3 linked regions of the Mytilus edulis genome follow. The protein of the gene in region 1 binds, or shares a complex with, the protein of each later gene. Links are inferred from orthologs where the notes say so. Each region holds a gene or a part of one and is shown on either strand. Other genes may lie near its edges.

Region 1 (7,848 bases):
CCTCTATCTGATAAATGATGTCAGAAAGGCGTGCATAATTGACGAGTTTTTTCTGGAGACAGACAAACTCGAAAGTGGTCTATTGGTCCATATGGTACAAAATGATTTTGATCATGGGTATGAAATGGTAAAAGTTAAGAACGAAATGTGATTTTAGGTATGAAATGGAAGAGGTACAAAATGCCAAGGTACAAATTGACTTGTTACCAAAGAACTGATCATAATTTTTGTGATGAACATACGATGTATAAATATAGTGGACTTTACCATTTTTGGAGAGAAAAAAAACTTTGAATGTTTTAGAGAAATTACATGCTTTTGACATGTTTGATGATACTTTTGATACCGTTGACAGTTTTGACATTCCCACTCTTTACACAATACTTCCACGCAATCTTATTAAACAGGTTGGGAACAAACCCTCTATATATGGTGTTTATACCTGTATAGACATGATAGAGGGATAATCCTTCTGTAAAGAGATAAAATTATCCTTCTATAAAGGAATATTTTTTTTTAGACTCGATTTAAAGCAAAATAGGCCAAAATAGCATTTTCTACTTATTATGGCAGTAACCTGCAACGTTTGATGCACCAATTGATGAACTTAATTTAATATGCATATGGCCCGTTTACTGCTTTACTGACTGAGTATACAATCTATTGTTTATCATAATTGAAAGCTGTGATGATCAGGTAAATTCCACTCAGTTATGCCTCAATGAACAGAATTTCTATTGTCATGATTGTAGGATTTAACATAAAATTTAAAGGTTGACTGTCCCTTTTGTTGTTGATCAGATGTTCAGATAGGTATACAAAAGATTACAAGTTCTGTCACTTAAGCAGAAAAACTGGGCATGTCAATTTTTAGTAAAGTGCAATAACTGACAAATATATAATGCTATAGATTAATATAGCCATATACATGTAGAATGTACATGTAAATAGAAAATGCCATTTTCCTGTTTTAAATCCTGTCGAAACACAAATATCACTCTACAATTGCTCTACAGAGGGATAATTTTATAAGAATACAAGAAAAGATTCGGATTTTGGAAAAAGGCTGAAACATTTCTTTGGTTTGGCTTTATACATGTACTTGCCAAACAATAATATTCAAGAATGCCATGCAGAATTAATAACAAATGCACCATCTGACGATAAATGCATCAGGTTTCCAGATTACATTTGGGCATCACCACTTGATCCCTGGAAAGAAAACAACAAACAATGCCATTCAATAGGTTTTCCTGAAATTATTTTCCCCGAAAAGTGAGATATTTATTTCCAGAAAAGATGAAAAGTAGAATTTTTTTCACGGAAAAGTATTTATCCCCCAGAATAGTAATGCCAATTCCAGAAATGTAAAACACCGTTTTTATAGAAGGATTATCCATCTATACAGGTATAAACACCATGTTGAAGGTTTGTTCCCACACTGTTAAACAAAAGTTTTTCCATTTATAATTTATTTGTCGTTCAATAAATCTAGTTGCATTTCTATTTGCTGTAACTCATATACAGCCTTTTCTCACAAATGAGTAAGATAAATATGGCCTGTATACAGTATGGGTTTGTCTCATTGTTGAAAGCTGTAAAGTTTATAGTATATAATAGAATATATATTATAATATATAATGTAATATGTAATGCTATAGATTATAATATATATGATGCTATAGATTATAAGTTTATAATATTGATCCAAATTCAGTATATTTAAATATTACCCTGTTTGTAAATACCTGCATATACATTTGTATATGTAAATGTGTTTATTTTTATTTTTGCACAAAATTATTTTTGATTATTGCTAGCTTAAAATTGTTATCTTTAAATAAGTGCCTTTTTTGCGATGCGCCAACATATAGTCATCAATGTGCTAATACACTTTATCGCTATTCCCGGCTGACCCGGCCAATTGAACTTTTGACATCATACAACAATCACTATTCCATTGTGGCATCAGTTAGTTTGTTTTCTGACGTCAAAATTTTACGGGAACCTATGTGATATCCAGTAATGGCGGAGAAATAGCGATTAGGTACATGGATCGTCGTAGGATGTATAGTCATGGTCAGCTGAAATTTGTAGTGGTTATCGGTAAAAATAATCTAATCTATCAATCGCGTTGGCACTCGAGATAGAGTTTTTCGCATTCCATTCATAAATCGTCAAAAGAAAAACCACTACCGACCTACCTTTTAAGTGATTGCACTGTAATAATCCTGACCTTCACATTTTCCAGAATGTTTTCCATTGTAATTCCGCCATCTTCGTTTCTATGAGGATCCTTTGTTTACATGTGACATGCGTTATACTTTGGAGTTTCCTGTAATATTCTTGTCATTGATGTGATAAAGTTTCCAGCGCTTTATGCTTATTTTCTGAACTTGAACTCCACAGAAACACTTCCGGTTAATACAATGGCGGATTCCACCATTCAAAATTGTCTTGGAAAATATGAAAGTCAGGATTATCACAGTTCAATCACTTTAAAGGTAGGTCAGTAGTGGTTTTTATCTTTTGGATTTATGAATGAAATGTGAAAAACTATATCACGAGTAAATGTGGTTGATAGTTAAGATTATTTATACCGATAGCCGCTACAAATTTCAGCTGACGGCGACTATAGATGTAGAGCATGGAGAGGGTTGGCTTGCCTAGGCTATAAATTTGCTTAGATCCACTTTATTCTAACTTTGGTGGATAGTCGTCTAATTGGCTATCATACCATATCTTCTAATCTTAATATAAATATAGTGGACAATTTGTGACAAATAATGAGATCTCCCATAATATCTGAACCCTAATAATTTCTGTGATAGATTGTTTTCATCCCCGCGACTACAATGACAATGTATGTATGGACAGCATGACCCCAAAAAAATCTTCACCTTTTTTGGAAGACTTTTCATGTGCGTCTACTATATGCTGAATAACATCTTCGTCTGCAACAAAACTGACAGATACACATTTTCTTCGTGGACGACTGTTCATTTTTCTTCTTTCCCGCAAAATAGCTCTTCAAAATAAAGTAGCACAAATGGAAAAAGTATAAAAACCTAACAAATGTTCCGGGTTCGTTCTTTAACGTGCCGAAAAAAGATGTAAAGCGTCTAAACATATTAAGTCAATTAAGTGTTTGATAAAAGTTATAACTTTTTATCACGAAATTTGAAGATAATAATCCTAGAAATATTAGTGCATAACTCAATCTGCGATTTTCCTATCCAACCTACTAAAAGAGGGACGAATTGAAAGACACCAGAGGGACAGTCAAACTCATAAATCGAAAATAAACTGACAACACCATGGCTAAAAATGGAAAAAAGGACAAACAGACAAACAATACACATGACACAACATAGAAAACTAAAGAATAAACAACACGAACCCCACCAAAAACTAGGGGTGATCTGCGGCAGGTACTCCGGAAGGGTAAGCAGATCCTGCTCCACATGTGGCAGTCGTCATATTCAACTAAGTCGGACATCACGTGACGTATACTAACCGCCATTTTGTATTATATTGCCAGATATAAAATGCATAGGTGCTTCAATAAAGTTTAATTTTCTCATTAACCTGACCCGTTTTCTAACTTTTGCAAATCAATCCTTGATATTCAAACATATTTCTATCAAACAATGTTGGTCCTAACAGTTTAATTTTTCATTAAATTCTGTCAAATGAGAATCGTAAAAACATTACTTTTTCTCGTTATTTCTCCGTTAAGGGACGACATCAAAAGATCAATGTAAGATAAAAAAAACTTAATTCAAATAGTTTGTGGGGGGGGGGGGGGGGGGGTGAACGGCTGCAAGATTTGGTTATCCGATATTGATTTTTACATATATGAGGGGGGATAGGACCTTTATCGAGACTCCGGGATGGGGTGTTTTTAAGCTTGGGATTTCGGGATTTACTCCTTCGGGATCCGGGAATTCTTTATGTCGAATTTCGGTGTCAAAGTCCCTATCTGTTCAACCAAATTTTGCAATTTTCACAGCTTTCTAAATATTTTACCTTAAGTTTAACTTCATAGAAACTAGGTATATCCTGAATTGTACAGGTGTCACCTTTCTGCATGCCAATTTTCAACATACATTCAAAATCATACAAGAAAGCAGAGAGCTTCCGAAAGGAGGTACCACTAAAAATAACCCCTGGTTTTCTGGAAATCTTAAATTAGTATACTATGGAGCGCATTAATCCTCAATTTTTAATGCAAACTCATAGACAGGTAAATTTTGGCTCAAAATGGTCTTAATATATTTCTCTTTCAACAAAACTTTCATTTCTGCAAATTTGTTCGTTAGTTTAGGTGAACAATGACATCAAATGCACTTTTTTTTGTCCGAGTAGGCCTACTTTCACATACGTTCTAAATTTGAGGGAGTAATTGGTGGTATGACACCTAAAGAGACAAAAAAGTTGATTAGAAATCTTTTATTTTGCTTTATTCTTAATCCTTAGTCAATTTGTAGTTAAAAACAGCCTATCTGAGCATTATGCGACTTATAATAAAAATTTCACAGCTCAATTTAAACTGACTGTAATGTATGACTTTGATAGAAAATACTTGAAAATTTCATTTTGGGCTACAGGAACATAAACTTTCAATATCAAGATCATTGTTTGCTGATTTTTTCTTGTTTGTTCTACTTCTTTAAAGACTTCCAACAATTTTTGCAATGAATTTAGTAAAAAATCCAAGGTATTGAAGTGTCAAGGAATATTGACCCCCCTTTTTTTCATCTGGTGTCAGTAAAGTACTACAAATTGATCAAAAGTGCAGTCATGGTCATTTAACTGTGTTTATTTACATCAGTTAATAAAAATTAAGATATAAAAATTTCATTTGGAATAATAAATGGTGCTTTTGTGAGTTTCTGCAGTGCTTACATTAGGCTATGCTATCTGCCAAGTACATAGTATGACGCAATGCTATAAGGGGTAAAAATCAAATAATTTCATTAAATCTGCATGACAAATTTTTTTTGGGGGTAGTAAACAACTTATGTTTCAATGTCTAACACCACAGAATAACTTTCTGTGCATTTATAACATTATTTAGGACATTTTTTATATAAAAGCCTATTGTCAGGATGGGAAAAGCTAAAAATAGGACAAACTCAAGTTTTAGGCTCTAAATTTGCAATATGTGACATTTTGCCCCCAAAAAGATTGAAATGTGGCTACTATTATCTCAAATGATCAGTTAAGACAAAAAAAAACAATTGTTTTCTGATTTTGATGTTTCACCGCATTTTGCTTAAAGAGACAAAAAAGTTGATTAGAAATCTTTTATTTTGCTTTATTCTTAATCCTTAGTCAATTTGTAGTTAAAAACAGCCTATCTGAGCATTATGCGACTTATAATAAAAATTTCACAGCTCAATTTAAACTGACTGTAATGTATGACTTTGATAGAAAATACTTGAAAATTTCATTTTGGGCTACAGGAACATAAACTTTCAATATCAAGATCATTGTTTGCTGATTTTTTCTTGTTTGTTCTACTTCTTTAAAGACTTCCAACAATTTTTGCAATGAATTTAGTAAAAAATCCAAGGTATTGAAGTGTCAAGGAATATTGACCCCCCTTTTTTTCATCTGGTGTCAGTAAAGTACTACAAATTGATCAAAAGTGCAGTCATGGTCATTTAACTGTGTTTATTTACATCAGTTAATAAAAATTAAGATATAAAAATTTCATTTGGAATAATAAATGGTGCTTTTGTGAGTTTCTGCAGTGCTTACATTAGGCTATGCTATCTGCCAAGTACATAGTATGACGCAATGCTATAAGGGGTAAAAAATCAAATAATTTCATTAAATCTGCATGACAAATTTTTTTTGGGGGTAGTAAACAACTTATGTTTCAATGTCTAACACCACAGAATAACTTTCTGTGCATTTATAACATTATTTAGGACATTTTTTATATAAAAGCCTATTGTCAGGATGGGAAAAGCTAAAAATAGGACAAACTCAAGTTTTAGGCTCTAAATTTGCAATATGTGACATTTTGCCCCCAAAAAGATTGAAATGTGGCTACTATTATCTCAAATGATCAGTTAAGACAAAAAAAAACAATTGTTTTCTGATTTTGATGTTTCACCGCATTTTGCTTAAAGGTGTCATACCACCAATTAAAAGTCCCTATCTGTTCAACCAAATTTTGCAATTTTCACAGCTTTCTAAATATTTTACCTTAAGTTTAACTTCATAGAAACTAGGTATATCCTGAATTGTACAGGTGTCACCTTTCTGCATGCCAATTTTCAACATACATTCAAAATCATACAAGAAAGCAGAGAGCTTCCGAAAGGAGGTACCACTAAAAATAACCCCTGGTTTTCTGGAAATCTTAAATTAGTATACTATGGAGCGCATTAATCCTCAATTTTTAATGCAAACTCATAGACAGGTAAATTTTGGCTCAAAATGGTCTTAATATATTTCTCTTTCAACAAAACTTTCATTTCTGCAAATTTGTTCGTTAGTTTAGGTGAACAATGACATCAAATGCACTTTTTTTTGTCCGAGTAGGCCTACTTTCACATACGTTCTAAATTTGAGGGAGTAATTGGTGGTATGACACCTAAAGAGACAAAAAAGTTGATTAGAAATCTTTTATTTTGCTTTATTCTTAATCCTTAGTCAATTTGTAGTTAAAAACAGCCTATCTGAGCATTATGCGACTTATAATAAAAATTTCACAGCTCAATTTAAACTGACTGTAATGTATGACTTTGATAGAAAATACTTGAAAATTTCATTTTGGGCTACAGGAACATAAACTTTCAATATCAAGATCATTGTTTGCTGATTTTTTCTTGTTTGTTCGACTTCTTTAAAGACTTCCAACAATTTTTGCAATGAATTTAGTAAAAAATCCAAGGTATTGAAGTGTCAAGGAATATTGACCCCCCTTTTTTTCATCTGGTGTCAGTAAAGTACTACAAATTGATCAAAAGTGCAGTCATGGTCATTTAACTGTGTTTATTTACATCAGTTAATAAAAATTAAGATATAAAAATTTCATTTGGAATAATAAATGGTGCTTTTGTGAGTTTCTGCAGTGCTTACATTAGGCTATGCTATCTGCCAAGTACATAGTATGACGCAATGCTATAAGGGGTAAAAATCAAATAATTTCATTAAATCTGCATGACAAATTTTTTTTGGGGGTAGTAAACAACTTATGTTTCAATGTCTAACACCACAGAATAACTTTCTGTGCATTTATAACATTATTTAGGACATTTTTTATATAAAAGCCTATTGTCAGGATGGGAAAAGCTAAAAATAGGACAAACTCAAGTTTTAGGCTCTAAATTTGCAATATGTGACATTTTGCCCCCAAAAAGATTGAAATGTGGCTACTATTATCTCAAATGATCAGTTAAGACAAAAAAAAACAATTGTTTTCTGATTTTGATGTTTCACCGCATTTTGCTTAAAGAGACAAAAAAGTTGATTAGAAATCTTTTATTTTGCTTTATTCTTAATCCTTAGTCAATTTGTAGTTAAAAACAGCCTATCTGAGCATTATGCGACTTATAATAAAAATTTCACAGCTCAATTTAAACTGACTGTAATGTATGACTTTGATAGAAAATACTTGAAAATTTCATTTTGGGCTACAGGAACATAAACTTTCAATATCAAGATCATTGTTTGCTGATTTTTTCTTGTTTGTTCTACTTCTTTAAAGACTTCCAACAATTTTTGCAATGAATTTAGTAAAAAATCCAAGGTATTGAAGTGTCAAGGAATATTGACCCCCCTTTTTTTCATCTGGTGTCAGTAAAGTACTACAAATTGATCAAAAGTGCA
Region 2 (7,733 bases), on another chromosome or scaffold:
AAACGTTACGGTATTTCCGTTTCTTTTTTTTTAAACAAATATTTAAGTTACAAAAAAATAATTCATACAGACTTCGTCCCCATTTACAGGTAATGCCTGCCTCATATTAAATATAAACATAATAAAGAAACTAAGGTTCCAACTCCCTCAGGCAAAACCAAGACCTCTATAATTATGGTTGGTAACATAGCTTTCATAAACAATAAATGATTCATAATTTGCAAAATATATTTTAACATTATGGTAATAAATTTTAAGCTTCTTAACATTTTTTGTTAAGCTGTAAAATGATAAATTACTTTGTTGTTTAACTTGAGATAATAATTTATCAATTTTCCTCTGTATCTTTGCATGTCTGGCAAACTCATCCACCATCTGTACACCATCCTGTTCTGTCTTCAGATCTTTAATCTGTGATCTTATATTCAGTTCTGTATCACAAACAGGGTATATCTGCTTACTCAGCTGAAACATAAAATAAACATTTTTTTCATTTCTGTGTGAATCTCACCAAATGTCTGTTAATAAGCATAGAATGCACATCATTCACACTGTGATCATTATTCTTCTGTCACCTGGGCCATTCCTACATCTCCTGATCTGTACTGTAGTTATTTTTTTTGTATGGTCTTCGGCCATAGCTGGTCACATCTGATCTGTACTTTATATAAATATTTCCATGGCTGATTAAGAAAAATTTACAAAAATAAAAAAAAAACTATGTTTGGATAGAACTTTGATCAGGTAACAACTGTATTGTATTGAATTGATTGATTGACATGGACAATAGACAGACATTAGTTATCTACAACTATAGGTGAGTTAAAGCGTGCAATACACCTTATCACTAATCCCTGCTGACCCGGCCGCTTGAACTTTTGACGCATACAACAATCACTTCTCCATTCGGACGTCAGATATTTGGTTTTAAGACGTAAAAATTTTACGGGAACCTGTGTGATTTTCAGTAATGGCGGACAAATAGCGATAAGGTGTATTGAGTGTACAGTATCTAAAGCAATTCAGGTGTGCATTTATTTTTACACCTTCTGGCTACAGGAACAACAAAAAAATGCCCATCAAAATCCAATTTCTTTCTGAAATACATTATGCATTTAACTTTTATATATCTAGTTGATACCAGGCCTTAAAACCTTTCCAACTAAACAGGTTAGACTGTACTCTAGAGTAGTTTAAGATGTGTAAATATAGCCAGTCTTCATTTTTTTGTCCATTTGTTATGATAAACCTACAAAAGGCATTTGTATATATTAAAGAAGAAGGAAAATTGCATGCAAAATGGATTGATTCATACTTGTTTTGAAATTATCTGGGTAAAATTCGACAAAATATTGAAGAAAATCACCAAAATTAGAACTAGTATAAGCAAAAACATTTTTTTTCTTTTTTCCAGAATATAATTCAACGTCAAGTATCAACTTGCTTTTGATTCTTGATATATGTTACTTTAAAGCGCTTTGAAGATGATTAAATGTTTTGTTACAGACTACTAAGACTTTATCGAGATTGTTCGTTTTTACAATCACTGAAGTCCAAACTAAAAGTTTCGAATACAACATACAGCCTGCTTCCTAAATACCGACTTCACATAAAACATAAATTAAAAATGAAAGTCGTACCAATAGAAATTTTTAATATACAATTTCTAATTTATCCATGTTTTAAGGAAAAAATCTTGATTCGTCAGAGTATCCAAATTGCACTTCTTTGAGCAAAGAGAGGAAAGAAAGTCTTACAAAGTTTTCTAAGGGAAAATATTTTGTATTTTTTTATTATTTGACATTACCTCGGAATAGTATATCTAACTTATAAGTTAATATATATGTTCCTGACATTACTGATGATGCACATATTTTTAAAGATAGGTTAATAGATTTAAATGTTCACAAAATGTTCACAGTAAATATCACTGAACAGATGAAGTATTAACCGGAAAAGGTAAAATCTACAGTAACATCACCATAAGACAGTCATCTTCTAAAAATGAGCAAATGAAATATGTAGACATTACGCACGTTAATGATTGGATTAACATTTAAGGAATGACTGTAATATTTTTTCTGTCTATGAAGAAATAACATAAAAAAAATGTGGTGCACACTGAATAACGTGCGTGTTATTTCGAAATAGACAGAAAAATATTACAGTCATTTCTTATAATTTAATTCTAAATTCATTTTAAACAGTTTTACCGTAGAAAACCATGAAAAACGTTGATGACGTCACGGTCACATGACTAAATTATGTCTATGGGCTGATAACAAAATAACGTCAGCCAATCAGAAGACGCGTTACATCCAAAATTAAATAATTTCGTTATGATATTATTTTAGAACAGCAACAATTCGCCTATACAAAATAAACCCACCAACATGCATACGTCTACAGAAAGCCCTTGACATGTTTTTCTTATTTTAAGTTAAGTATAAATGTTTGCACCATACGTTTATTTTATTGATCACACATATCTTACTTTTACATTAAATAATTGCATGTCCGGCGCAACATTGAGATTGAATAAAATGCATTTTCCTATGTTCCGTTGTAAAATTGCACATAAAATCTGCGAAATTTGGTACATCAACTTCCTACTAGATTTATATTCTAACGTCTTACCATGTTTTTTTTTGCGTTGGGTGGTATTTGAAACAAGTCCCCAACGAAGTATTCATCAGAGGAAATCTGTCTTTATGTGTCATGAGGAAAGTTATCAAAATTTCGAATTTTATTATTGTCAATCAAATCATATTAAAGCTATATTGACTCAATAGAAAGTTCTGAAAAAAATAAGCATGTTCAAAGTTTCGAAGGTAAAAAAAAACTTTTTCATGAAGCATAATCTAAATAAATTGCATGTCTAGCCACTATGTCCATACGATATTTTTTTTCCATTCCTTTATAGTTGAAATATGTAATACTAGTATAAACAGAAAATTTGCATTTATAATGACAAAATTCAGTCCAACATCCATGCACAAGAAAGTGAAAATTTCATATCTTCTCTCAATTATAAAATGTATAAGCCGAAGGGCTATAAATCTGTCATTTCGTACAGATAAGGCGACTGATATTATAACAACAAACAGATGTTTAAAACACAAAATTGTTAAACTTTAAAACTTTAAAAAGGAAAATGCACAGGCACATGTGGGGTTGACACTCCTCCTTTATTTTTGGTGTTTAATTCTTATTTTGGAAATATTCTGTGATGTTGTTTATCCTGACTTTTAAGATTAATTTGAAAACCTAATTATTTTTAAATATGTATTTTTTTTTTGATATCTTAATCTTGCAATTTATTGAAAAAAATAAATTTTGTAAAAAAAACCAAAATCACATATAAAGAAAAAAAAAGATTCATTTCTTGATTGGTATTGTGTATTTATTTTTTATCTCTTCTTGTAATTGCCACCTAAAAACCATGTGACATCTGTGAACTAACATAATATAATTGATGTGACAGTTTAATTTGAAAATATTGTGTTTTCTAAGTGGTGCAGGAGATAAGTTCACTTATTATCAAGTTAACATCATTTTGATGCAAATTCTCGGGCTTAGATTGAAGACTGTAAAGAAGAGACCAGTTTTAGATGTTCATGAAGAGCTTCAGTCTGGTCCATCGTCACCGTGGAGATAAGGAAAACCGGATCGTAACCCTTGGTTAGCGAAGATCATAGTCTGGTTACATCAATGCAGTACGTATTCTTGACTGTTTTCACCTTAGAGAAGATGATACTGTCTTGCATTTTATTGTATCTACACAAGATGTCATTCGTCTGTTTTGCATTATAATGCATCAAGACAAGACTTCGAATGACAAATTGAATTTTGTTACTTTTATGTGAATTTTTACTTGCTTTACAAAATCGTTGATCTCAGTTGTCTTCAACTTCTACCGGATAATGGACCATTGGCCACAATCAACTAACAGAATATTTTGCCATGACTTTGGTCAAATTATTATTCACTTATAAACTATGGAAAGCTTCTAGTTTTTATTTCTGCCTAGCTAAATAAAGGGGTCTTCAACCAGGTTCTTGGTTCGAACTCTCCGACAGTTATCAGAGTGCTGACAGGAGTAACCTGAGAGTTGGCCATATTCAACTGTTTGCCAAATGATATAAAGGATTTTGAAAAGACTTATAGAAAGCTTTAAGATGAAATGTGCTAATCTCTTGATCACAAAACAAAATGAGTAGACAAACGTTTTTTTATGACATTCTTGCCATGCTAGTTCTGTACAGTCTGATTTCATGCTTGCATAGATATATATTTGTAATTTGTAATTGTGTACATATCTATTGATTGTGCAATATGCATTGATTGTTATATGAATTGTTCATTTAAATGTGTTAAGGCCTTGTATGAGATTAACAATTGCATGTTAAAGGAGTTACCTTCGTTAAATAAAGAATTTATCATTAATTATATATATATGTAAAAAAAAAACACACAGAAAATACAACTCGTAAAATCCCTCCTTTTAGAAAGTATTACCAGAAACTTATATGTGTATATATGTCTCTGGTATTACTTTTGCATTTTTCAAAGGTCTCCTGCAAATGCGTCTGAAAATAGAGGTTTCATGTATGTGTCATCATTAAGTTGTAATTAATTTTTGGTACGTGTTTACAGTGTTAACTCTCTTGAAATTGTGTTTGGTGATTAGTTGTATTTTTGGTAATTCTCCAAGGAAACATTATTGACAGAGCCTGTATATTGAATTCTCCCGCAAAATGTATGATTGCAAGAAAACAGAAAAGGCTTAATTTTTTTTAGTAAATACCATAAACTGTTGACATGGACACTGGGTCTTCAGTTTCAAAAGTATATTAATTAATGATAGTGAAATTCTCATCACAGCTTACTTATTTTTTATTATCATGATTGAAATATATCAAATAGTTTATTATTTGTTATTTATTTTCTACAAAAAGCACTTGTTTCTACTTTATATTTCTATTCATAATCAATTTTTTGAGTCCAGATATCCTACAACTGTTCTAGAGTAGTCTAGATTTATTGTGAAGGATTTATTAAATCAAATCAATTTGCTGAAAATTAGAGCATGACATTATTGTGTAGGCTAGCAGAATAGACACCCTAACAGTAGTCCAAATAATTATGACGTCTGGCAAGGCTATTTTAATTTTTTCTGGGACGCCTTCCTACGACGTCATAACGCCGAAGCCATTTTTTATGTTTGGAGTTTGAGAGCAAATTTTGGGGGGAACTTTAAAACCTTATTTTGACCTGAAATTTTCATTGCTGGTTAGAAATTTTTACGTTATTACAAAGTCCTACCTTTTTTGTGCTGATTTATGTAAAATATTTCCAGAAATATCCAAAAGTAATGATAAAATAAGATGCAATTCCATTTCAAGTGGGCAAATATTTATATTGTTTCAGAGAGATTTCCCACAATTACCAAAAAAACGTGACAAACGTGACTTCCGGTGAATATAAAATATTAAAATCGGTAAAATTTGACAGACCCGAATTCCCAGAACATTTCATTTACATTATCCGGAATTCCCCCCAAAATTTGCTCTCAAACTCCAGACCTAAAAAATGGCTTCGGCGTTATGACGTCGTAGGAAGGCGTCCCAGAAAAAATTAAAATAGCCTTGCCAGACGTCATAATTATTTGGACTACCCTAACAGTAACCAACTTGCATTTATGTTCCAGACCGTATGTGTACTTTTTCAAAATACTTATACGATCAGACCGTACACATACAGTCTCACTAATATTGAGAAGTTGGTCAAGTTTATTAGATACAAATTTATAATTAATGCGTATTACAGATCAGCATAACTTAACTCTCAAATTAATATATGAAAAAGTTCAATTGTAGTTGAAATAAAAACTTTATATTCTAACTATTTTAAAAAATCATGCTAATCAACTCTGTTAATCTCCTGTATTTATATGATGTCGATCAGTTATACATTATTTAAATTATGATCACTGAAATTGAAGATATCTGAAGTAAACATAATATGGGAGGACAGTTGTTTTAGAATGTTTAGCAACTTTACAAAAAAATGCAAATGCAAAGGGACATGCATGAACTGCAGACATGTACATTTTCAAATGTAAAAAATATAAAGTCACCTTGGGCGAGTGTACCAAAATAGGATTCAGATATGCAATTAAACAAAGTTAAATTTCAATTGTTTGTTTGTTCAGTTTATCTGTCTAATTGTAATAATAAAAATTTGTAAAACTAAAAATAAAGATTGTGGAAAATTGTTTAAATATAACCCATATGATCCAATCACATGTATGGTCCATACGCGCATACTTATACGGTCCGACCGTACAGGTATACGTATACTGTCTGGACTGTACACGTACGGTCCAAATACTCATATGGTCTGGAACATAAAATTGAGAATGGAAATGGGGAATGTGTCAAAGAGACAACAACCCGACCATAGAAAAAACAACGGCAGAAGGTCACCAACATGTATGTTCCAGACCACATGAGTATACAGTCGGACCGTGGCGTACAAGTATACTCATACGGTCTAGAATGAGCTGGACCATACATGTATTTGGATCATATGGGTTTATTTTAGACAAACATTAATAAAAAAACTTTTATTGAGTATTTCAAGTTAATATTATTACAGTTTGATGAATAAAGTGAATAAGTTAACAATAAATCAATTGAAATTAAATAATTCTGTATTAAATTGTCTCTAAATCCTATTTTGGCAATCCCGCCCTGGGTGACACTCATGACACTTGCTGCTAGGAGGAACATCAGATTTTTTTACATTTACAATTTTACATGTATAATTTGTTTGTGCATGTTCCTTTGCATTTGCATCTCTTGCTTGCTTGCTTATTTTGCAGCAATATGCAATAAATTTCATTCTGTTTTCCAATGTGCAGTTTCAATTTTGCGTGGGAAAAGATCGATATCACCCATAACATAAGAGTTCAATATGCCAAATTCACATGATAGTTTGTACAAATTTACATCCTTACCAATTATATCATCAACCCTACATCTCCCTGATGATTTTCTTACAGGAATAAAGCTACCCTTTTTAATCTTTGCATTATTTTTCAACACTTTTTAGCTCACATGGCCTGAAGGGCCAAGCTAAGTGAGCTTATGCCATCACTTGGCGTCCGTCGTCGTCCATCGTCTGTCGTCCTAAACTATTTCAAGAATCTTCTCCTCTGAACCTACTAGGCCAAATACTTCCAAACTTTAACTGAATGTTCCTTAGGATATCTAGTTTATAAATTGTATCCGAAGTTTTGATCTATCAACAAACATGGTCGCCATTGCTAAAAATAGAACATGGGGTCAAATGCAGTTTTTGGCTTATAACTCAAAAACCAAAGCATTTAGAGCAAATCTGACATGGGTAAAATTGATTATCAGGTGAAGATCTATCTGCCCTAATATTTTCAGATGAATCGGACAACCCGTTGTTGGGTTGCTGCCCCTGAATTGGAAATTTTAAGGAAATTTTGCTGTTTTTGGTTATTATCATGAATATTATTACAGGTAAAGATAAACTGTAAACAGCAAAAATGTTCAGCAAAGTAAGACCTAAAAATAAGTCAACATGACTGAAATGGTCAGTTGACCCCTTTAGGAGTTATTGTCCTTTATAGTCAATTTTTAACCATTTTTCATAAATCTTAGTTATCTTTTACAAAAATCTTCTCCTCTGAAACTACTGGG
Region 3 (7,566 bases), on another chromosome or scaffold:
TGGTCTTCTTACTGTACTGTGCTGATTTCCATACATTGTTTAATGATCTGAAAATATTTCTGGCTTTGTTTAATCTGTTCATAATGTCATTTCCTGCACCTCCATCGTTTCTTATTGTACTTCCTAGGTATGTAAATGTTTCTGTGATGGGAAGATCTTTTCCATCTACTAGGATAGGAGCTGGGTTATTGATGTTTAGGGTCATGACTTCTGTTTTGGTTTGGCTGATTTTAAGTCCAACTTGACTGGCAAATGTATTAAGGCGGTTTGTCTTCTTTTGTAAATGGTGGTGGGTGTGAGATAAAAGAGCAAGATCATCAGCAAAATCAAGATCTTCTAGTGTTGCTGAAAGGTTCCATCTTATTCCTCTTGGAGCATCTTCTGTTGTTTTTCTCATTACCCAGTCAATGACAACATTGAAAAGAAGAGAAGACATCACACATCCTTGCCTAACTCCTGTTTTTACCTCAAACCAGATGTTGCTATGCCCTACACTGCAAGTGAAATTGTTGTAAAAACTTTTGATAAGTTCAATTATATCTTTTGGAATTCCATATGCTCTTAGTATTCGCCACAAGGTCTTTCTGTTGATACTGTCAAAGGCCTTCTGGAAATCCACAAAGTTGATGTAAAGCTGCCTTTGCCATTCTGTACATTGTTCGATGATGTTGCGTAAAGCAAAAATTTGATCGATGCACCCTCTACCTTTACGGAATCCTGCTTGCTCTTCTCTTAGTTGTTTATCAATTGCATCTATTATTCTTTGGATAATAATTTTGGCCATGATTTTACTTGGAATTGACAGGAGGGTAATGCCTCGCCAATTGTTGCAATCGCTTAGAGCTCCTTTCTTGGCTAGCTTTATTATTATGCCTTTGGTCCAATCGTCTGGTATTATTTTTCCTTCCCATATTGATGTAAATAATGCTTGAAGAATTTCAGCTGCGAGTTCTGGGTCGACTTTGAAAAGTTCTGCATTCAGGTTGTCATGACCTGGTGATTTTCCATTTTTTAAAGATTTTATTACTTTTATTATTTCTTGTTTGTCTGGAAGGTTGATATTAATTTCCAAGTCTTGAACTGCCTCAATTACTATCGCTTCGTCACCTGGCGGTGGCCTGTTAAGTACTTCCTTAAAGTGTTCTGCCCATCTGGCTTTTTGCTCGTCTTCTGTTGTCAATAGCCTTCCATTTTTGTCTTTTATATGGACATCATTAGTGTTACGAAATTTACCACAGATTTCTCTTGTGATCTTGTAGATTTTTCCTTGTTCGCCCTTTTCTGCTGCTTCTTCTGCTTGTTTAGCAAGGTCTTCCATGTAAGCTCTTTTGTCTGCTCTAGCCATTCGCTTAACATTTTTGTCTAGTACTCTGTAGCTTGCTTTGTGTCTTTCTTGTAACCGTTCAGATTTTGTGTCTAGAATCTTCTTATTCATGTGACGTCTTTCTTCTATAACCTTCCATGTACCTGGTGTTATCCATTTCTTCATCGTTTTACCCTGTTTAAAACCCAAACATTCTTTGCTAGTTGTTTCGTAAATTTTTCTTATTTGATCCCATTTTGAGTTGACTTTTGTTGTTTCTGTCGGGATCATGTCAGGATTATCTGTAAGAGCTTGAAACTTATTTTTCAATTGGAGGATGAATGCAGTTTTTACTTTGTGATCTTGTAATTTTTCAATATCATATCTTGTGGGGACAAGTGTTTTACGTCCTGTACTTCTCAATTTCATCTTAATATTTGCAGTAACAAGGTGATGGTCACTACCAACATCTGCTCCCCTCTTGACTTTAACATCGAGTAATGAACGCCTCCAAGTACCATTTATCATAAGGTGGTCTATCTGGTTCTTATCCCTTCCATTTGGAGAACACCATGTTAATTTATGTATATCTTGATGTGAAAAGAGTGTTCCTCCTACTACCAAGTTGTAAGCTGCACATAATTCTGCTAGTCTTTCTCCATTATCATTTATAGTACCACATCCATGTTTACCTATTATTCTGTCCATATCAGTGTTGTTGTTTCCCACTTTGGCATTCAAATCACCCATCACCACCAATAGATCATGACGGGGTACCAATCTCACTTCAGCTTGTAGTTGTTCGTAAAAGGTGTCTTTCATAGCTTCATCACTGTCATTTGTTGGTGCATAGCATTGTATAAGGGTCATGTTGGTGTGCACTCCTTTAAATTTTGCTGTTATCAATCTACTATTGACAGGTTTCCATTCCATAAGTCTCTTCTCAGTGCCTTTCTTGAGGATGATGGCTACTCCTTCAAAATGATAGTTGTCATCTCTCCCTGAGTACAGAACTGTTTCTCCTGAATCTGTCTTTATCTTACCAGAACCTGTCCATCTACTCTCGCTAACTCCCAAAATGTGCAAATTATATCGCCTCATTTCTGATGTGACCTGTGCAAGTTTCCCAGTTTCATACATAGTACGTACGTTCCAGAATCCTATTCTGGTTTTTGCTTTAGCGCTCAGCACTTCATTCCTGCCAGCAGCTTCCTTGCGGCTTTCACCACTGGCAATCATACTATTTTCTTGAAGGCCTATTCGCACAGCGGTTGTGTTTGATTCCTTTGTTGCTGTTTCCGTAACTTAATTCTTTTTACAGGATAGAGTTGTTGGCCCTATGCCGAACCCCCTACTTGGAGGGCCAGGGATTTTTTGTCGAGGTTTCCTTCCTTTAGATAAGTTGCCGACCAAGGCTGACGAACCATTATCTGCCCTTTTTATATCAGAGTTTTCTTTCTCCTAGATAAATTACCTTCCTGGGTTAACGATCTTCATCTAACCGGCTATTTACCCATAGTTGGGGCAAGGTTAATGAGAGTAAGGGCGTGTCCACACGCCGGTGGGCCTACACTCTGCATCTTTAGGGCCCTTGCTGCTCCAAGATCCTCTACAGTAAAGCCTGAGATACTAGATCCCAGTTACCATGTGCTGTCGCGGGGAGGCACTGTAGAAGTCTTGACAGTGTAGAGGCTATGTACTGACAGGAGAGGCTTACTCACTCGGCTCTCTCTTCGCTCACATATGCAAGCTAGCCAGCGGCAGCTGCTTTTCATAAAAAAAACAACCACACTAGACGCATACTACTGCCCTGTGGAACAACCACCAGCACACATGTTTTCAAATAAGCTGTACATAAACTAAATAATTGTAAAATTTAAGCGATTTCTGTAATTATGTTATTTTTTTATTTCGATATTACCCGTCTATTTCTTCATTAGCTCAACAGAAAAAAAGGACATTAACAAAAATGTATGCTTATTCCGGAGGCAGATTGTGAGCTTAAATGAACGGTGGCCCCATTTTTTTATTTCATTTTTCTTTTAAGTATATGATAAAGTTCATTTATGAAAAAATATAGCGAAATCCTATATTAGAATTTTTTTTTTAATCAACCACTTTCTATATTAGAAAATGTCTGTACCAAGTCAGGAATATGACAGCTGTTATCCATTCGTTTTGGTGTGTTTGAGTTCAGTTTTATAGTGATTATACTTTTACATTGTTTTAGAAACGTGAGGAAGTTATATATATATATATATGGGCCTAAAAGTGGTACATAACAATTCGTTCCTTCAAAACATAGACAGTTTGCTTCATGGGATGATTCGCAACTGAAATTAAATCTTTAAGGAGGCTCGAGGGTATAAAAATTTCAGAAAAAAAATAAACATTTGTTTTTCATTACAAATTTTATTTATTACCTTTTGTAGTTGTTACTTTATCATATGGTACAAAAAACATTCAAAACAATTAATTCGTGTTGGCCCCAGATGACTTTTTAAATGTAAGCATCATTAAAAAAGTTCCAAATTATCTCCCTTTGGTGAAAAAATGCCATTTTTTGGCTTTAAATAAAGGCAACAGTAGTATACCGCTGTTCAAAACTCATAAATCCATGGACAAAAAACAAAATCGGGGTAACAAACTAAAACCGAGGGAAACGCATTTAATATAAGAGGAGAACAACGACATAACACTAAAATGTAACACACATAGACAAAATCCCACGAGAATAACAAATATAACATATATTTTTTAAAATTGAAATATCTCTTTTAACTCATCGGTGACCAGGCTATATTTTTTAATATAATTTCGATATATGCTGTACTTAAATTAAATTATTGCAAAATTTGAGCGATTTCTGTAATAAATTTCTTTTTTTTATTTCGATATTACTTTTATTTTTCCTATCAGTTCAACAGAAAAAAAAACCACTTTAACAAAGATGTATGCTTCTTTCCAGAGACATATATATATGTCTCTGTTCTTTCGAAGGCAGATTGTGAGCGCAAATGAACGGTGACCCCATTTTTTATTTTATTTTTCTATTAACTATAAGATAAAGTTCATTTATAGAAAAATATAGAGAAATCCTATTTAAATGATTTAGACCCGCGAACCCCCTTAAGTAAAGATTATCTGTAATATTAGTTTAGCTCAAGCCGATAGACATATAAGACGGAACAGTCATCTCGTCCGCTATTGACTCAGTGTTTTATAAGGATAATCTTTCGATAGTCATCGGAAATCATTAAAAAGATCCGAAATTTGGCGGGGAAATTTAATGAATTTTGACAACATTACCTGTTTAGAATTAGGTGACCGACATACAAGGTCCTTTTACTTCAATTATTTATTTATAAATTACATATGAAGAAAAAAATCTCTAGATGACAAAATTTATAACTTTTTCGTTACCAGTACCACACCGGCACACGGTCATGACAGTGTGCCTGTGTTGGTAACGAATTTTTTTTCTGGGAAGCCTTTCTACGACGTCATAATTATTTGGACTAGACAGTCACCGGCTTACTTGACACTGTCACAGACTACACATGAGAAACATTTTACATAGCATCTAACATTATAAACACTTAACTCGAAGCCCTGTTTTCATGTCTACCCGTCCCCTAGTCCAAATAATTATGACGTCTTGAAAGGCTATTATAATTTTTTTCTTTGACGCCTTACTTCGACGTCTAATTTTTTTCTTTGACGCCTTACTTCGACGTCGAAGTAAGGCGTCAAAGAAAAAAATTATAATAGCCTTTTAAGACGTCATAATTATTTGGACTACCCGTCCCCTAGTTGATCCGTCCTCAGGTCCTTCTGTTCTAAGTCTTCATTCCAAGTCAATCCGACCCACACTTTCAACATCATAACATGTAAAAAATTAAACTACTCAGTCTCATGATTATTGATGAACAAAAATCCCCAAAACTTTGGCAGATTCTGCTATGAAAGATATAATTCTGTGTCTTATGTATTTTTATTCCCCAAGTGTAGGGGCATTAAGTGTTACCCTTGTCAGTCCCGTTTTTCCTGTTGGTTCCAATCCAAAATTGGTTTCTGTTCTCTATGAACGAGTCTGCCTCAACCAAATGTTACAAAACTTGTACAGAATGCTTTCTTCCATAATTTACAGATCAAGTTCAAGTTCAAACTGTGGCGTCACTTGAACCTGTTCATGAGTAATCCTAATATACATGTAGGCCAAAAAAATAATACATGTGTTCCTGCTTAAGTTCTGAAAGAATTTAGGGTAGTTTACTTAGGCATGTTAGGTAGGTAGGCAATATCATTTTATTTTCCAAACATTTCTTAGCTGGATACTACTTGGGAACCAGTCTGACTCTAACGGTGCTTGTTCAAAATGCCCCAAAAAATTAAGGTATGCACTAAAAACTTGGGTAGGTAGGGTTAGGGGAAATACATGTATTATTTTTTTGGGCCTTATAAATATAAAAATTGCTGGCAATAAATACAGAGTACAGTAGACTCCGGCCAATCGGATACCCAAAATGTCAGCTAAAAATATCTGATATTGTCCGATATATTCAATTAGCCGATGAACGTATATTCCTCCGAGTTTTTTTTCAAAATTGACAGACACAACCCTAAGATACCAATAGCTATTATAGCTGCTTTATTAATGGAAATTTGTAACTAATCTCATTGTTTTTTCAGGTACAAGTTCGGATAATTCGGTTGATTGAGTAACAGATCAATCAGTTGATAATAATGTATTTTGTTTATCTGTCAGTCTATTGATTATTAATTATTAATTATGAGTTGATTATCTGAATAAAATATGTACCATTTAAATAATGTGACTTGTTGTTTTTGCGTGATTTGTTTCATTTGTGTGTTAAAACAGGTAAAAGCTAAAAATAGCTATGAATTCTCGGAAGTAGGCCACAGGTAAATTCTATTAATAGCTACGAATTCATGCCGACTATAAACTTCTACCTGTAATCGTACTCGGATCTAATTTTCTACATTTTTTTATTTATGAAATCCATTTCCAATTTCAAGTAATACAACTATGTTTATGATTATAAAATTGTAAAATTAATTTTGCTTTTCTATCTTCTCTGTCGTGGTTCAAAATAAAAGGCTGAATATTATGTAAATTAGGAAAATGGCGTACGTGTGTACAAGTTACATAATTCTATTTCACCTGGGACATGCTATTGACACACGATTCCTTGTTTTTACACGGGACTTCTATATATATTTTAATAAATTGTTGAGAAAGAGGTACATTTCATTCATATTTAATAAACATTGATGAACATCACGCACAGTTTATCATTTTGTCGTGTCATTGTTTGTGAAGTAAATGACAACGATCACATTTGGATAAACACATAACAAACACATCTTGGGCAGAATATAATATCAAATTCATAAAATAAACAAGACAATAAGAAAAAATATGTTTTATTTGACTATGAAAGATCGTTTTTATTAATAAAATGAAACATTTCTGTACTGAAGTTTTCTTAAACTTCGTAATGGCGTGACTTCCGGTTTCATTTCCTGTCAAAAAAAATATGAAACTATTTCAAAATATTCGATTGTACATGGTTTTCACACATTTTCCATGAATATTCCTATCCAATTAGCCGATATATTCTAATAACCGATATTCGATTATCCGATGTATTTTGACTGAAATGTATAGGGAATGGTTCGGTGTTTTGAAATAATATTACAATAGCCGATATATTCGATTAACCGATATCCGATTAGGTGGAGTCTACTGTACTTATAATTTATGGATATTCGATATCTTTATATTTAACATGTTTAAATAACAAGATATTTTTATACCATTATGATATATATAATAGATGTTTTATAAAGATATTTGATTTATTTGATCTAGCTATTAATACATTCCTTATGTTCAGTTGACACCTGTCAAATACTGCTCATTTGTTCTCCTTTTATGTAGAAGCTGCATCAGAAAATATGACAGAAGTAGACAACTTTAAAGAAGATCTCAACAAAACATTTCCATGCAGACAATCACAGATTAATTTGTTGCTGTCATTGTTTGGACAGGTAAGTGAAATGTTTTTTTACAAGTGTATACAGATGCAGATTACATAAAATGAAGATTACATAAAAAGGGTCCTAAATTTTAGTTTTCAAAAAAATGCAAGTTGTCCTGCTTTTTCCATGTCTATTTTAAAAAATAATATTCTTGGGTCAATTTAAACTCTACTTTGATAACTACTTTAAATATCTAT

Evidence for each region.
Region 2: the proteins of origin recognition complex subunit 2-like (region 1) and origin recognition complex subunit 3-like are in contact, whole or in part, in a cryo-EM structure (PDB 7JK6), measured with the Drosophila melanogaster proteins. The link is inferred for Mytilus edulis from reciprocal best matches to the Drosophila melanogaster genes Orc2 and Orc3. Residues at the interface, in NP_731873.1 of Drosophila melanogaster: Ala331, Ile332, Lys342, Met344, Cys345, Ile346, Leu347, Asn348, Glu349, Phe351, Tyr356, Leu358, His369, Lys375, Thr377, Val378, Leu379, Val380, Val381, Asn382, Phe385, Asp392, Ser396, Asp400, Ile401, Leu402, Asp403, Asn410, His412, Glu413; in NP_476904.1 of Drosophila melanogaster: Gly10, Cys11, Phe12, Val13, Tyr14, Lys15, Asn16, Ala18, Thr19, Arg20, Ser38, Leu39, Leu40, Tyr50, Tyr53, Arg54, Asn106, Pro108, Arg135, Asp136, Ala142, Arg177, Arg180, Asp308, His312, Gln316, Lys319, Tyr320, Met323, Phe327.
Region 3: the proteins of origin recognition complex subunit 2-like (region 1) and origin recognition complex subunit 5-like are in contact, whole or in part, in a crystal structure (PDB 4XGC), measured with the Drosophila melanogaster proteins. The link is inferred for Mytilus edulis from reciprocal best matches to the Drosophila melanogaster genes Orc2 and Orc5. Residues at the interface, in NP_731873.1 of Drosophila melanogaster: Asp438, Arg443, His468, Asn470, Thr471, Pro472, Leu473, Leu474, Trp475, Asp476, Gln477, Leu480, Trp487, Ser521, Ser524, Glu564; in NP_477132.1 of Drosophila melanogaster: Lys169, Ile382, Cys401, Asn402, Leu404, Ser405, Ile407, Ser408, Thr409, His412, Asn424, Ile425, Met426, Glu427.

What each region holds. Positions count from the first base shown.
Region 1 is NC_092350.1:14,218,685-14,226,532, reverse strand, and holds the start of origin recognition complex subunit 2-like, read right to left. Parts: upstream 3,045-7,848; 5' UTR 3,004-3,044; coding exon 2,901-3,003; intron 1-2,900. UniProt on the Drosophila melanogaster protein: Component of the origin recognition complex (ORC) that binds origins of replication. DNA-binding is ATP-dependent, however specific DNA sequences that define origins of replication have not been identified so far.
Region 2 is NC_092353.1:2,484,530-2,492,262, reverse strand, and holds the start of origin recognition complex subunit 3-like, read left to right. Parts: upstream 1-4,684; 5' UTR 4,685-4,821; coding exon 4,822-4,848; intron 4,849-7,733. Other genes in the region: guided entry of tail-anchored proteins factor 1-like, read right to left, coding at 300-465, 1,316-1,396.
Region 3 is NC_092344.1:67,509,665-67,517,230, forward strand, and holds the start of origin recognition complex subunit 5-like, read left to right. Parts: upstream 1-4,509; 5' UTR 4,510-4,642; intron 4,643-7,268; 5' UTR 7,269-7,285; coding exon 7,286-7,378; intron 7,379-7,566. UniProt on the Drosophila melanogaster protein: Component of the origin recognition complex (ORC) that binds origins of replication. DNA-binding is ATP-dependent, however specific DNA sequences that define origins of replication have not been identified so far.